3 linked regions of the Tribolium castaneum genome follow. The protein of the gene in region 2 purifies or fractionates together with the protein of the main gene of each other region. This does not show direct contact. Links are inferred from orthologs where the notes say so. Each region holds a gene or a part of one and is shown on either strand. Other genes may lie near its edges.

The links.
Region 1: the proteins of Snr1 (region 2) and Sin3A purify together in Homo sapiens (affinity purification with western blotting; 3 studies listed by BioGRID, with this or other methods). This does not show direct contact. The link is inferred for Tribolium castaneum from reciprocal best matches to the Homo sapiens genes SMARCB1 and SIN3A.
Region 3: the proteins of Snr1 (region 2) and proline-rich protein HaeIII subfamily 1 purify together in Homo sapiens (affinity purification with mass spectrometry; 9 studies listed by BioGRID and IntAct, counting the BioPlex papers as one, with this or other methods). This does not show direct contact. The link is inferred for Tribolium castaneum from reciprocal best matches to the Homo sapiens genes SMARCB1 and SS18.

Annotation. Positions count from the first base shown.
Region 1 is NC_087396.1:24,661,949-24,665,704, forward strand, and holds the start of Sin3A (paired amphipathic helix protein Sin3b), read right to left. Parts: upstream 2,505-3,756; 5' UTR 1,918-2,504; intron 1,838-1,917; 5' UTR 1,702-1,837; intron 1-1,701. Other genes in the region: sel (protein seele), read left to right, coding at 3,673-3,756. UniProt on the Homo sapiens protein: Acts as a transcriptional repressor. Corepressor for REST. Interacts with MXI1 to repress MYC responsive genes and antagonize MYC oncogenic activities. Also interacts with MXD1-MAX heterodimers to repress transcription by tethering SIN3A to DNA.
Region 2 is NC_087401.1:13,705,525-13,709,196, reverse strand, and holds the start of Snr1 (SWI/SNF-related matrix-associated actin-dependent regulator of chromatin subfamily B member 1), read left to right. Parts: upstream 1-856; 5' UTR 857-1,082; coding exon 1,083-1,354; intron 1,355-1,401; coding exon 1,402-1,709; intron 1,710-3,672.
Region 3 is NC_087398.1:224,259-228,014, reverse strand, and holds proline-rich protein HaeIII subfamily 1, read right to left. Parts: upstream 2,168-3,756; 5' UTR 2,023-2,167; coding exon 1,798-2,022; intron 1,791-1,797; exon of another isoform or gene 1,674-1,790; intron 1,644-1,673; coding exon of another isoform or gene 1,607-1,643; exon of another isoform or gene 1,502-1,606; coding exon of another isoform or gene 1,421-1,501; intron 1,203-1,420; coding exon 267-1,202; 3' UTR 111-266; downstream 1-110. Other genes in the region: rRNA-processing protein UTP23 homolog, read left to right, coding at 2,273-2,392, 2,443-3,063. UniProt on the Homo sapiens protein: Appears to function synergistically with RBM14 as a transcriptional coactivator. Isoform 1 and isoform 2 function in nuclear receptor coactivation. Isoform 1 and isoform 2 function in general transcriptional coactivation.

The sequences.
Region 1 (3,756 bases), on a different chromosome or scaffold from region 2:
CTTTTCGAGTTGAGAGACATCTGGTTGATATTATTACACTTTTGTGATAAGATTAAGAAAAACGTGTTCGTGTCATGATATGCTGCTATTTTATTACATTAATCGAATTCCTAACAATTACCTACCTTTTGTTTAATTAATAATTTCAGAAGATATTATGAATATTGTATTTCCGTGAAAAAATACAATGTTTTTTAGACAAAAAATATATAACCCATGATAATAACCGGTAAGCATTTTATTTAACATTCCATTATAAATTGGTTTCCAATAGAAATTACATTTTTTATTACATGTAAAACCAATTTTCATTTTCCAATACCTATAATTGTGATTATGTAAATTAATTTTTAACAATTTGCCATTTTTATCCTCTATCCACCGCTGTACAAACATTATTTCTGCATGTTATTACTGTCAGATCAGTTTTTGTAATTATCTCTGACCTTTTTCTTACAAATAAATAAATATACACCGTTAGTAATTATTATAACGTTATAATTTAAAACATACATAATAATACCTAAATTAAAAACAGAGACAAACTCTAATTTAAATAATTTTACTACCTATTTATTTGGTAGATAAATGAATAATATTAAAGTAGAGCACAATGTGACACATAATTACAGTTTTAATAAAATTCGCACAGACTACTCTTATGAAACACGTCCTACAGATTGAATAATTATCAAATTATTTCCCTCGTCTTACCTCTGAAATTTTATATAAACATGTTCATTCCAGCACGAAAATGTTATTCAAGAATTACTAAAAATCGTAAAAACAAAAATCTAAACTAGTATTTGACAAAAAAATAATTTGTGGAAATAAACATGTAAAAAAGCTTTTAAAAATGTAATTTGACCATACTGTTTTTTACAAGCTAGGAGAGCAAAATGATGACTTTATTTCGACATAACCTCAAAATAACATGTTACGTAAACAAAATCCAACAACATTTCGTCCATCATAGTCAAAACCACTGATATTTTTAAAGTTTTAATATAAGATTCGAGGAAAATTTGCAACAATATCGGCAACAACGTTCATGGAACATTTCTCGATCCCATGTTGAACATTTTCAATTCAGCTGATCCGCAAAACGACACGCCCACTTATTTATTTCTGGCATAAACAAAACCGGTAGCGTTTATACGAACTGCTACGCAGTTACTTATCGCGTCATTCCGGACAATAATGGCGTCGGTATTTCTCCCCGGAAAAAAAAACAAAACAAAACTCAGGGTAACAATTCTTATCATTTTGGCACTCGTGAGATAACCAAATAAATAGTCCATACCCTAAACCATTTATGCAAACAGTAAATCAACTTTCACGGATGACCTTGAAAAGGCGCGCGTCAAAGTTTTAGAAAGCCCGCATAAAAATCTCGTCACGTGTCGGTTTCTGGTGGCCATTTTTCGGCATTTGTGTTGTGGCAACGTTGCCACACCTTTGTGCATGAGTAATTTGTGGCAGTGGCAACGTTGCGTGTCGACTTCGCTCCCGCGATCTAGCAAGCTAGGCTCGCGATTGGCCAATGAAGGAATCGATAGGCGAGTGGAAGGGCAGGGAACCGGACGTGCGAGGCGCTGCGACCGAAGCGACCCAAACACGAAAGTGCATAAAGCCGAAAATCGGACGCGACTCTTTGTCAGTAAACAAATACAAAATGTTGCATCGAAATTTCGTAATTACCGAAAGGTCGGCAGATTTTCGGCGGAAAAGCGTTGCCAGGCCGACGAAATTTCCACGGAGGGAGAGTGCCGGCCCCCGCGACGGAGGCTAATTTTGGAACGCCGACGCCGAAATCGCGGAAAAACCATGGGAAATGCTGGAAAAGCGGCGCCGAATTGGGAATTGCAATTACACAACACTTGTGTCAATGTGAAAAGTTAAAAATATGTCACTCACCTTACAAAAGCCTCTTTCGCGGAAAGCGCTTCCGTGCGGACTGGTGCCGGGGATGCACCGTACAATTGCAACCGATCCGCGCTGATTTCACTGGGAAATAATTGGAAAACACTAGAATTCATCAAAAGAAAATTCTGACACATTCTGTTCCGAACCACCCGAAACGATGACCGATTGTCGACTGACTGGCTGCTTCAAATCTCCGAGCTTGTTTGGACGAGTCCATCAATTTCGGGTGGTTGGTCGCTTTGCCCACTTTCAAATTTTTCAAGTTTTTGATCACCAAAATGCACAAAACCTACACACAAACATTACGACGTGCCACAGGATGAGCTCCCAATTCCAGAAAAATTACACTTTAGTCATATTGTGGATTTTTTCAGTTTCGGATACTAGCGACCGCCCCTCGAATCAATTGTCTGATCCGTAAAAGGTTTGTTTGATGCTTGCTCTGATAGTTCAATGTGAAGAGAACAGTGGCGCTGTTATCGATTTTTAAAAATACCCGCCAAAGAACAATGTAGTGCCCATTTTCGGATTAGTTGAGCGTGTAGCAGATGTAAAAGTTTTAAACTGACCTCTGACTGTTATTAATCTTATTAAGCCGGACATCAAGATTCAAACTCTTTTTGTGTCTATTAATTATTATTAATAAACTACACCTAAACATTTTTATTACTATTAAAAATAATTATACCTACAAGAAATTAATCAACTAAACAATTTCTAAAAGTATTCGTGCCAATGATTACGTGGCTGCAGAGGCTAATAAAAAATATAAAATTAAATAAAAATCTGAAAACAAGTAAAAAACTTGTCTATGCAATTAATTCATAAATCCACTTTATGTTGAATATACATCCAGTGAACATTACTGCATAACACACACCTCAAGAAGACACATTTTAATTACTAATTATTAATTTAGTCACTCTCTTCGGCAATAAGAACCACAATGAAAAATTAAAAAAATAATAATAACTGAAGTGAGTGTATAAAAATAGTTGAAAATCACATTTTTGGATTCAAAACATCAAAAAAAAACACACACACACACACACACAGTGATGCATGGAGAACATTGGAAATTTAAAACAGGTCATAAATTCCATTTAAAAAATTATGTAGCAATCTGAAACTTGAAACAAATACCATATGCTAATATTTAAGAGCTTTTGAGCTTTTTGAGAAAGATAAGAGTTGAAAAAAAAATAAATTCACTTGGTTTATTGTATTTTGGGTTGCCCACTTCAATCAGTGCTTCTATTCTATGACAGACAATAAATAATTGAAGAAAATGGGGTCACGTTTGTGCTCCGAGTCAAAACGGCTCCAATACACTTCTGATAAACTTGTAAAAAATTACCGTAAAAAACAGAAACATCCAATTAGTTAGAATTCAACCCAAATTAATCCAATTATTATTCCCAATTAGATAATTCTTACAAAAACTAACTGTATTATTGGACCGTTTGGTTATGTATTTTATCGATTTAATTTTACATTATAAAAACCACGGGATTATAACTGTGAAAGATTTTCGGTTCAAATAATTTTCATTACGGGAAATACCATTGGAGCAAATACTATCAGCCATCACTATCAGCATAAGCCCAATTTAGCCAATCAGAAGGTAGAAACGTGTCATTAGAAAATTATGAACGTCAACCAGTTTTATTTTGAAGAAAGCGAGCCGCGAAAATATTATTCTTGCCAGTTTATTCCGAAAAAGTGCAAAATTGTTCTGACAATAAGATGAAAATAACGCTAGTTCTAGTAACACTCTTTTTTTACAACACAAAAGCACAAAAAATTGATGCTCAAGAGTTGAGGTGTTTA
Region 2 (3,672 bases):
AATTTCATATCTTTGAAAACACTAGGTTTATAATTATAAACCACATCTACTTATTCATCGAACGTATCTTCAAAAGCATTAACAAATAAAGAAATTGTATTTCTGTAAATAACAAGTCGTTTGTAGAACACTTATTTTTTTACATATTTTTTTTTGTACAAAACATTCTGCAAGCATCGCTTGTTCTATAAATCATAAAAATTTCCATTAGTTAATGTTTTTAGTTTTTTTTAAATAAAATAATATTTTATTAATATAAATATTTCTCATTAATTAATATTTATTATTTATAAGAAATTGTAGAAAAAATCTGATAAAATTCGAAGGCTTACAGAAAGAAATAAAGCAAAAAAAATCACAAACGCTGATTTTTGTGTGATTATTTAAATGGATTATTATTGGTTATTAGTGATTCATTACAGTATCTCCTTAAACAAATTACTTCAATTATCACAAATAACACTTTCTTTCAATATTTATATCTTTTAAGTCAATAAAATTATCCGGAGATCTCAATACAATGCCGAAAGGAACAGTAGTGTGTAAATCGCCGTAAATGACCCAATACTTAACAGTTTTTGATTACGCAATAGATTAAATAACTCTTTGTAATCAAAAATCTTTTTCACTTTTTTATCAAAGTCCAACATAAAACACTTTATAATCACGAAAAAACGCAAAACCAAAGGCAACACTAGTATTTACCGGCATATAATTTTAAATTGACTCTCTCTAATGTAAAAAATTAACAGTACACACGCAGAATTGCTAAATAATCCATTAAATGAGCAATTACCAAAACTTGTTACTGTTTTCGGCAAGTACGACATGTCGTCACCAGAGGACGCCTAGTTAATGCATTTCTGGTGATTTCAGTTTTGTCAATTAGACTAGCCACCAAAAGTGTTTTTTTACGAATTGTTTGAATTAATTAACCCCAAGTACCATCTCGTGCAAAACCAAACGAAATAATGTGAATCGTGTCCTTGCTTTGTGTAATTTATGCCCGTATTTTCCATTTGAGTGCCCTGTTGACATTTGTTGGTGTCACCTAACCTCACAGTGTTAAAGGACGCGGCAAAATGGCCCTCCGAACATTCGGTGAAAAACCGATAACTTTCCAATTGGAGGAAAATGGGGAGTATTACTGTGTGGGCTCCGAGGTGGGGAACTACCTGCGCCTGTTCCGGGGTTCCCTCTACAAGAAATACCCCGGAATGTACCGCAGGTCAATCACAAACGAGGAACGCAAACGCCTCATCGAGCTGGGCTTGAGCCAGCACGTTCTGGCCAGCAGTGTCTCACTGCTTCGGGCCTCGGAAGTCGAGGATATCATTGAGGGAAATGACGAAAAGTTGGTTTGTTTTTTGGGGGTTTTGTTGTTATTTGTTGATTATTTAGGTATAAGGCTGTTTCGGTGCACACTTCGGACCCGCCGATGCCGAGGGAGAGTAAATCGAAGAAGTCGATGCAATGGGTGCCCTCACTCCCAAACTCCAGTCATTTGGACGCTGTGCCCCAAGCCACCCCGATTAATCGGAACAGAGTGGCGGCGAAGAAAGTTCGGACGTTTCCGTTATGTTTTGATGATACTGATCCAGAGCTGAATATGCAAAATGCGGCACAAGGGGAGTTGTTGGTCCCGATAAGGCTGGATATGGAAATTGAGGGGCAGAAGCTGAGAGACACTTTCACGTGGAATAAAAACGGTAATTTTTTGGGTTTTTCTAATCACAGTACGCTCTGCATTTGAAATAAAGTTGTAACTTTTACATTATTTATTCTTATCAACTTATTTTCGAATACTTATTAGCGCATTTTGATCTGAAATTTAATTCTTGAATAATTTTTAAACCTGCCACCAGTCATTTAAACTAATCAAGATTGCGTGATACGAGAAAAATATGTTGGCAATGACTGTAGTCTAGTAACTAAGGTTACATCTGTTATCTAAATTGACACCATATTGTTGATACTGGGTCCTGATTATTAACTACAAACTTGTAGTAAATGATAAATTTTTTGATAAAACGCATTTTTAAACACTTTTAATATGATTTATAACTTTTTTTGAGTTTAATTTAATTAAAACACGTCAAAAGATCATCTAAATATGTCGAAAATGACCTGAATTTGACACTCTTTAAAAACAGTTCCAATTAGATTAAAGTGTATGTTTTCTTTAAAGTGACTTTGCTTTTTTGTTGAAGCAAAACTTCATAAAAACGCTAAAAAATCATCTAAATATGTTGAGTAATAGCGTTATTTCCAGATTATTTTGCCTTTTTTTTATTAAACTTATCTTGTTTTTGAGTATGAGACTTACTTGTTCTTGAAAGTTTTGTCAAAAAATGACTAAATTAGGTCGAAATTGACGTTTTCTTCAGTAGTGATTTGGACACATTTCGTGAAAATGCACCGAAAAATCATCTAAATATGTCAAAACTTATGTCATTTTGACAATGTTTTCTCTTTTTTGAAAACTTTTTTTTTATTAAATACCCCGAAAAATATCTAAATATATCGAAAGTTACGGTTGGTTCGACATTATTTTAGTTTTTGTCGTTAGATTTATTTTTTTTAGCGAGAAACTGACTTTTTTGTAAAATTTTGTCAAAAATAAGCAAATTGAGATAAAATTGACGTCCTAGTTTTAAGAATTTCTGGTAGGTTTATTTGTTTTGGAGCCAGGAACTGCAAAGTTTCGTGACAGAATTAATCAAATGTAATGTTTTTTTTAACAGCTTAATTTCTTAAAATAATCTAGCTTTGTTTTTATACGAAATTGCATTAAAATGCGCCGAAAAATTTACTTTCATATTTTTCTTGCCTTTTTCATTAAGTAAGTAAGTAAGTTTTTGAGCGAAAATCTCCATTGTTTTGAAGAATTTTGTCAAAAAGCCAATTTAAATAAAAATTGAGGTGCTTTTTCAGTCTATTTAATATATTATTATTTATTAATTATTCTAACCAACTGTATTTCTGTTGAAAAATGTACTAAACACGCTCAAAAATGTAAAATAATTGAGTTTTAAGTTTAAAATGGTGATAAAACTCCCAAAAAATGCAAAATTATCACCATTTTTGACGCAGGTTAGTGACTTTTCGGCTTATTTTTGAGAAATTTAATAATAATAAAAGTGTTTTATTCTCCCATTTTTGTTATTTGATAATTGTAGAGTGGGCCCAAGTCCCAAACCTTTGTTTTTATCTATAGCCGACCTAATTTAAAGTTTAGACCAAGTAAATACCAACTCAAGAAAAAAAAAACTTTTTTTTTTTTTCAGAAGTTTCGTTTTTTCTTCTGTCTTTTTGTTTTTTAGTTCGAACATGTATTTGACTGTCATCCTTCATCATCAACAGAGTATTTTTTTTAATTACACAATATTTTGTGCATTGTTGTTAGTTTCGTAGTTTTTTTATTTTTATTATTTTTATATTTGTTGAAATCGGGATATTAGAAATTATATTTAGGGTTTCAATTACCAACTGTTAAACTTTTATAAAAAAAATTTAACAAGACGAAAATACAAAACAACCGTTGGGTATTTTTGAGAGACGATTTTTTAAAATAAAAAAAATAAAAAAAAATTGTATAAAAAATAATGTTTGGTGCTTTTGAGCGACTAGTTTTTGGTTTTTTTTTCAATATCAAAAAAATCAGCAAACGTA
Region 3 (3,756 bases), on a different chromosome or scaffold from region 2:
AGCTGCCACAGAAAGCAGGTCTCAGCTATCCTAGTTCTAGTTACGTTTTTATTTTATATTTTTGAAGAAATTTGGCGTTTGGAGGGCTGTGGTCATTAATGATTAAGTGCTTATTTTGTCAAATTTATTACAATGAAATGGCGATACAAAAGAAAAAACATTCAATATCACACTATTTCTCGAGAGAAAAAAACTAAAAAAAACGCAGAAATACGATAAGTACTTCGAGTTGATTCCTAAAAAATGGAACATAGAATAAGGACTTTCTACTGTGGGTTTGGCTGGGCAGGGTAATTGTACCCATACTGCCCTTGCGGAGGTGGTGGACCTTGTGCTGTTGGAGGCCTTGGATACTGGTACCCTTGTGGTTGTCCCCCATATTGAGGCTGTGGTGGATAGCCAGGTTGTGGGGCATACCCATAATTATTGGGCGGTCCTGCAGGGGGATACCCTTGTGGGGTATTGGGTGTGTATCCTGCGTTAGGATTCGAGGGCTGAGAATTGGGTGGATATGGAGGTTGATACGGTTGTGGTGTGGTGGGTGGAGCCGAAGTAACCGCAGGACTTTGATTATTATTGGGTGGAGCCGAAAAGGGCGGAGACTGGGTATTACTAGGCCCGTAATTTTGTGGAGACGTACTTGGTTGGTTGGGATAAGAGGCGGGGGACGTTTGTGGTTGGCTAGAGGGTGGAGGCGGGGCGTAGCCCGGCTGGGGCGGGTATCCCTGTGGGTAAGTCTGTGGAGCCGTGGAATTGGGGTAGGGGCCACCATTAGGGTACGTCCCGGGTGGGGCTTGGGGCGGGGCACCTGGCGGAGGGTAGGGCCCTGCACCCGGTTGGGGTGGGGCTCCACCAGGTGGGGGCGTGCCGTAACCCGGCTGTTGGTAGTTGTTGTGTGCTGTCGTTGACGGTGGTTGTCCGTAATTGGCTTGAGCATTCGATGGGGGATAGACCGGGGGTTGGTTTGTGGGGTATTGGTTTTGTTGGGGATAGGCGTTACCTTGAGGTGGGTATTGGCCAGGGTATTGGTTTTGTTGGTAACCTCGCTGGGGGTAAGGGTGGGTTGGAACGCCAGGGCGTTGCGGTCCTGGAGGCTGGCGGTAGGCGGGTTGTTGTTGGTGGTTGAAATTGTTCATGTGCTGTTGATCCATTGTGGGTGGCGGCTGGCCGTGCGGTGGTGGGGGTGCCTGTGTTTGCAACATCTGAATAGAAAATATAGTTGTAGAAATGGGGAGGGGATCTGAAATTTTGTTATTTATCAACTGACTTAGATTCATGACAGGACCGGACTAGTTTGGGGAAAGGCTATTGTAAAATGGGATTGGTTTTACTTTTTATTAGAGCTATTTTAATAAAATCGCAATTTTGGAAATGTACTTTCTTAGATGTGTTCCCGAAAGGTATTCGGAAAGAATTTTACCTGTAGTCCGGCCCTGTCAGTAGTTAGCACCTGATTTGTAAATGTTAATACAAAATAAATACAAGAATTAAAAACAGGCATTTTATTGTTATTTCAAAGATAAAATCATAATCCTTTTATTTTTTGTCGCGATTTAAATAGAAGCACGTCAAACAAAGCGTAGATCTACGCTGAAATCAAGTCCCCATGCACTCTTTTGAATCAACAACAAATATGTCTCAAGGTTAGTAAATTTTAAAATAATATCACATACCAATTTTCATACGTAATTCGCAATCAATTTCTCACAAAGTTGCATAAACTACAGTAATTAATACCCGTTTGGCGTAGTTTTACCTTAACCTTTGTTACACAAGCCACTCTTTGTTTATACTTACAGGCAAAAAAGACTGAACATTTTGAGCAGAGTCTGCCATCGTGGCTAGATAAGTTAAATTCCTGTGCAATGCTTGTTGATACTGGACAACTTCTGGAGCTTTTCCTTTGCTTTGATACTCTTGAATTGTTTGAATCAAATGTCCATTTTCGTCGAGCATTTTTTGTACTTGTGCTGGGTTTGGTGGCGGTCGATTACCGCCACGTTGACCGAATCCCACAGACATTTTCACTTAATTAACGTGGTTGCACTTAAAAACAATTATTTTAACGAAAAACGAAGCTCACATTTGTCGTAATTTCGTTCGAGTTCACTTGACTGGTGTTTTTTCTAGTGACAGTTGTGAGTTGGCGGCAACGCATGAAAAAAACAACAAAAACCCTAAACTTGCAGGAACACCAACCGGTATTAAACGTCACGTTGTGAGGTTAGATTCATGATTAAAATAACAATTTGTGCGTGTTTATTAAGTTACAATGAAGATAAAAAGGTACAAAAAAGTGCACAAACACTTAAACTTCTACATAAATAATTTCGGGTTTCGGCAGCCTTATCAAATCCTACTAGACGGAACGTTTTGTTTTGCAGCTTTGAACGTAAGTAAATGACCCGTTTAAAAAGCTGTTTATTTAAGTCTTAAGTGTAGAATAAAGTGAATATCGCTGACAATGTTCCGAGATACTTACAAGGGGAGCTTAAATTGTTGACTACACAATGTGCAATCATCGAAATGGAAAATTTGGGTACTAAGTTGGGGGGCGCTTTAATCATCTTGAAGAAATTTCCCATTCACAAATGCGGACATGAAGGACAACCAGTTGTTGCCTCAGAGTGCTTGTTATCAATGTTGGGTGATACAAATCTTAATCATTACGTTATCGCAACTCAAGATAGAGATTTACAAAATAATGTGAGACATAAAGTGGGTGTACCGCTTCTTTATCTTCATGGGAAGACTCCAGTATTGGAACAACCTTCAGAGGTAACAGTTGAGGCCACTAGAAGTAGGGCTGAAGGCTTAAGTGTAAGTGAGAGACAGAAAATTGAAAAGTTGAAATTGGAGAGTGGTTTAGTTGAAGCCAAAGGTAAGAAAGTGAAGAGGAAGAAGAAAGGGCCAAACCCTTTGTCGTGCAAGAAGAAGAAGAAAAATAAGTCAGGAGAGGTGGATAAAGTGGTGAAAAATACAGAAGAGAAGAAGAAAAGGAAGAAAATTAGGATAGCACAACATGTTAAAGAGATTTTGTTCAATAAAGACAATCAAGTTTAGTACATTTTATTATTTTCATATACAGTATAGGAATCATTTTTACATTTTTTTACCTAGACAGAGTTCTACTATAAATATTTTTCTTTTTTGTCTACACAGACTAACAGATAGACCCGTTAATAAATTATTAAATCTAGTACATTTCATATTACACATCCTTATTGGTAAGTACCTATACTTATGTTTTCGTAGAGTATAATTTCTCGTTTTAACAAATATACATCACATCAAAAGAAAAAACAAACGGAAATAATGAATTCAGTTAAATTACAATTACTGGAATCAAAAGCAAACAATTAAAACATTGAGCCAATAAACCAAATTCATTATTTCGAAATATTGCACTTATAAAAAAACTAATTAAAAAACGTAAAATGGCAGTCTTTATATTGTATTGTCAATAATCCAAGATAAATAAGGATTTATAATTAGTTTTTTTTTGATTCTATGACCACATGTCTTACAATGAGCACCTTTTATAAAACTCTAAAATCTAATAATTACAGATTAAAGCTTATTTTTTTACATGACCTAAATTTCGTATAACCAAACGTTTTGGTGTTGTGGAGGTTATTTTTGGTTGTTCACGAAACATTAAAAAAAAGTCTAACAATTTTGATATGTAAAAAAAGAAAGTTGAACCGAAAGTCACAGCATAATTCTCGCAGCTTTAAGTACTGATGATTAGCAAAA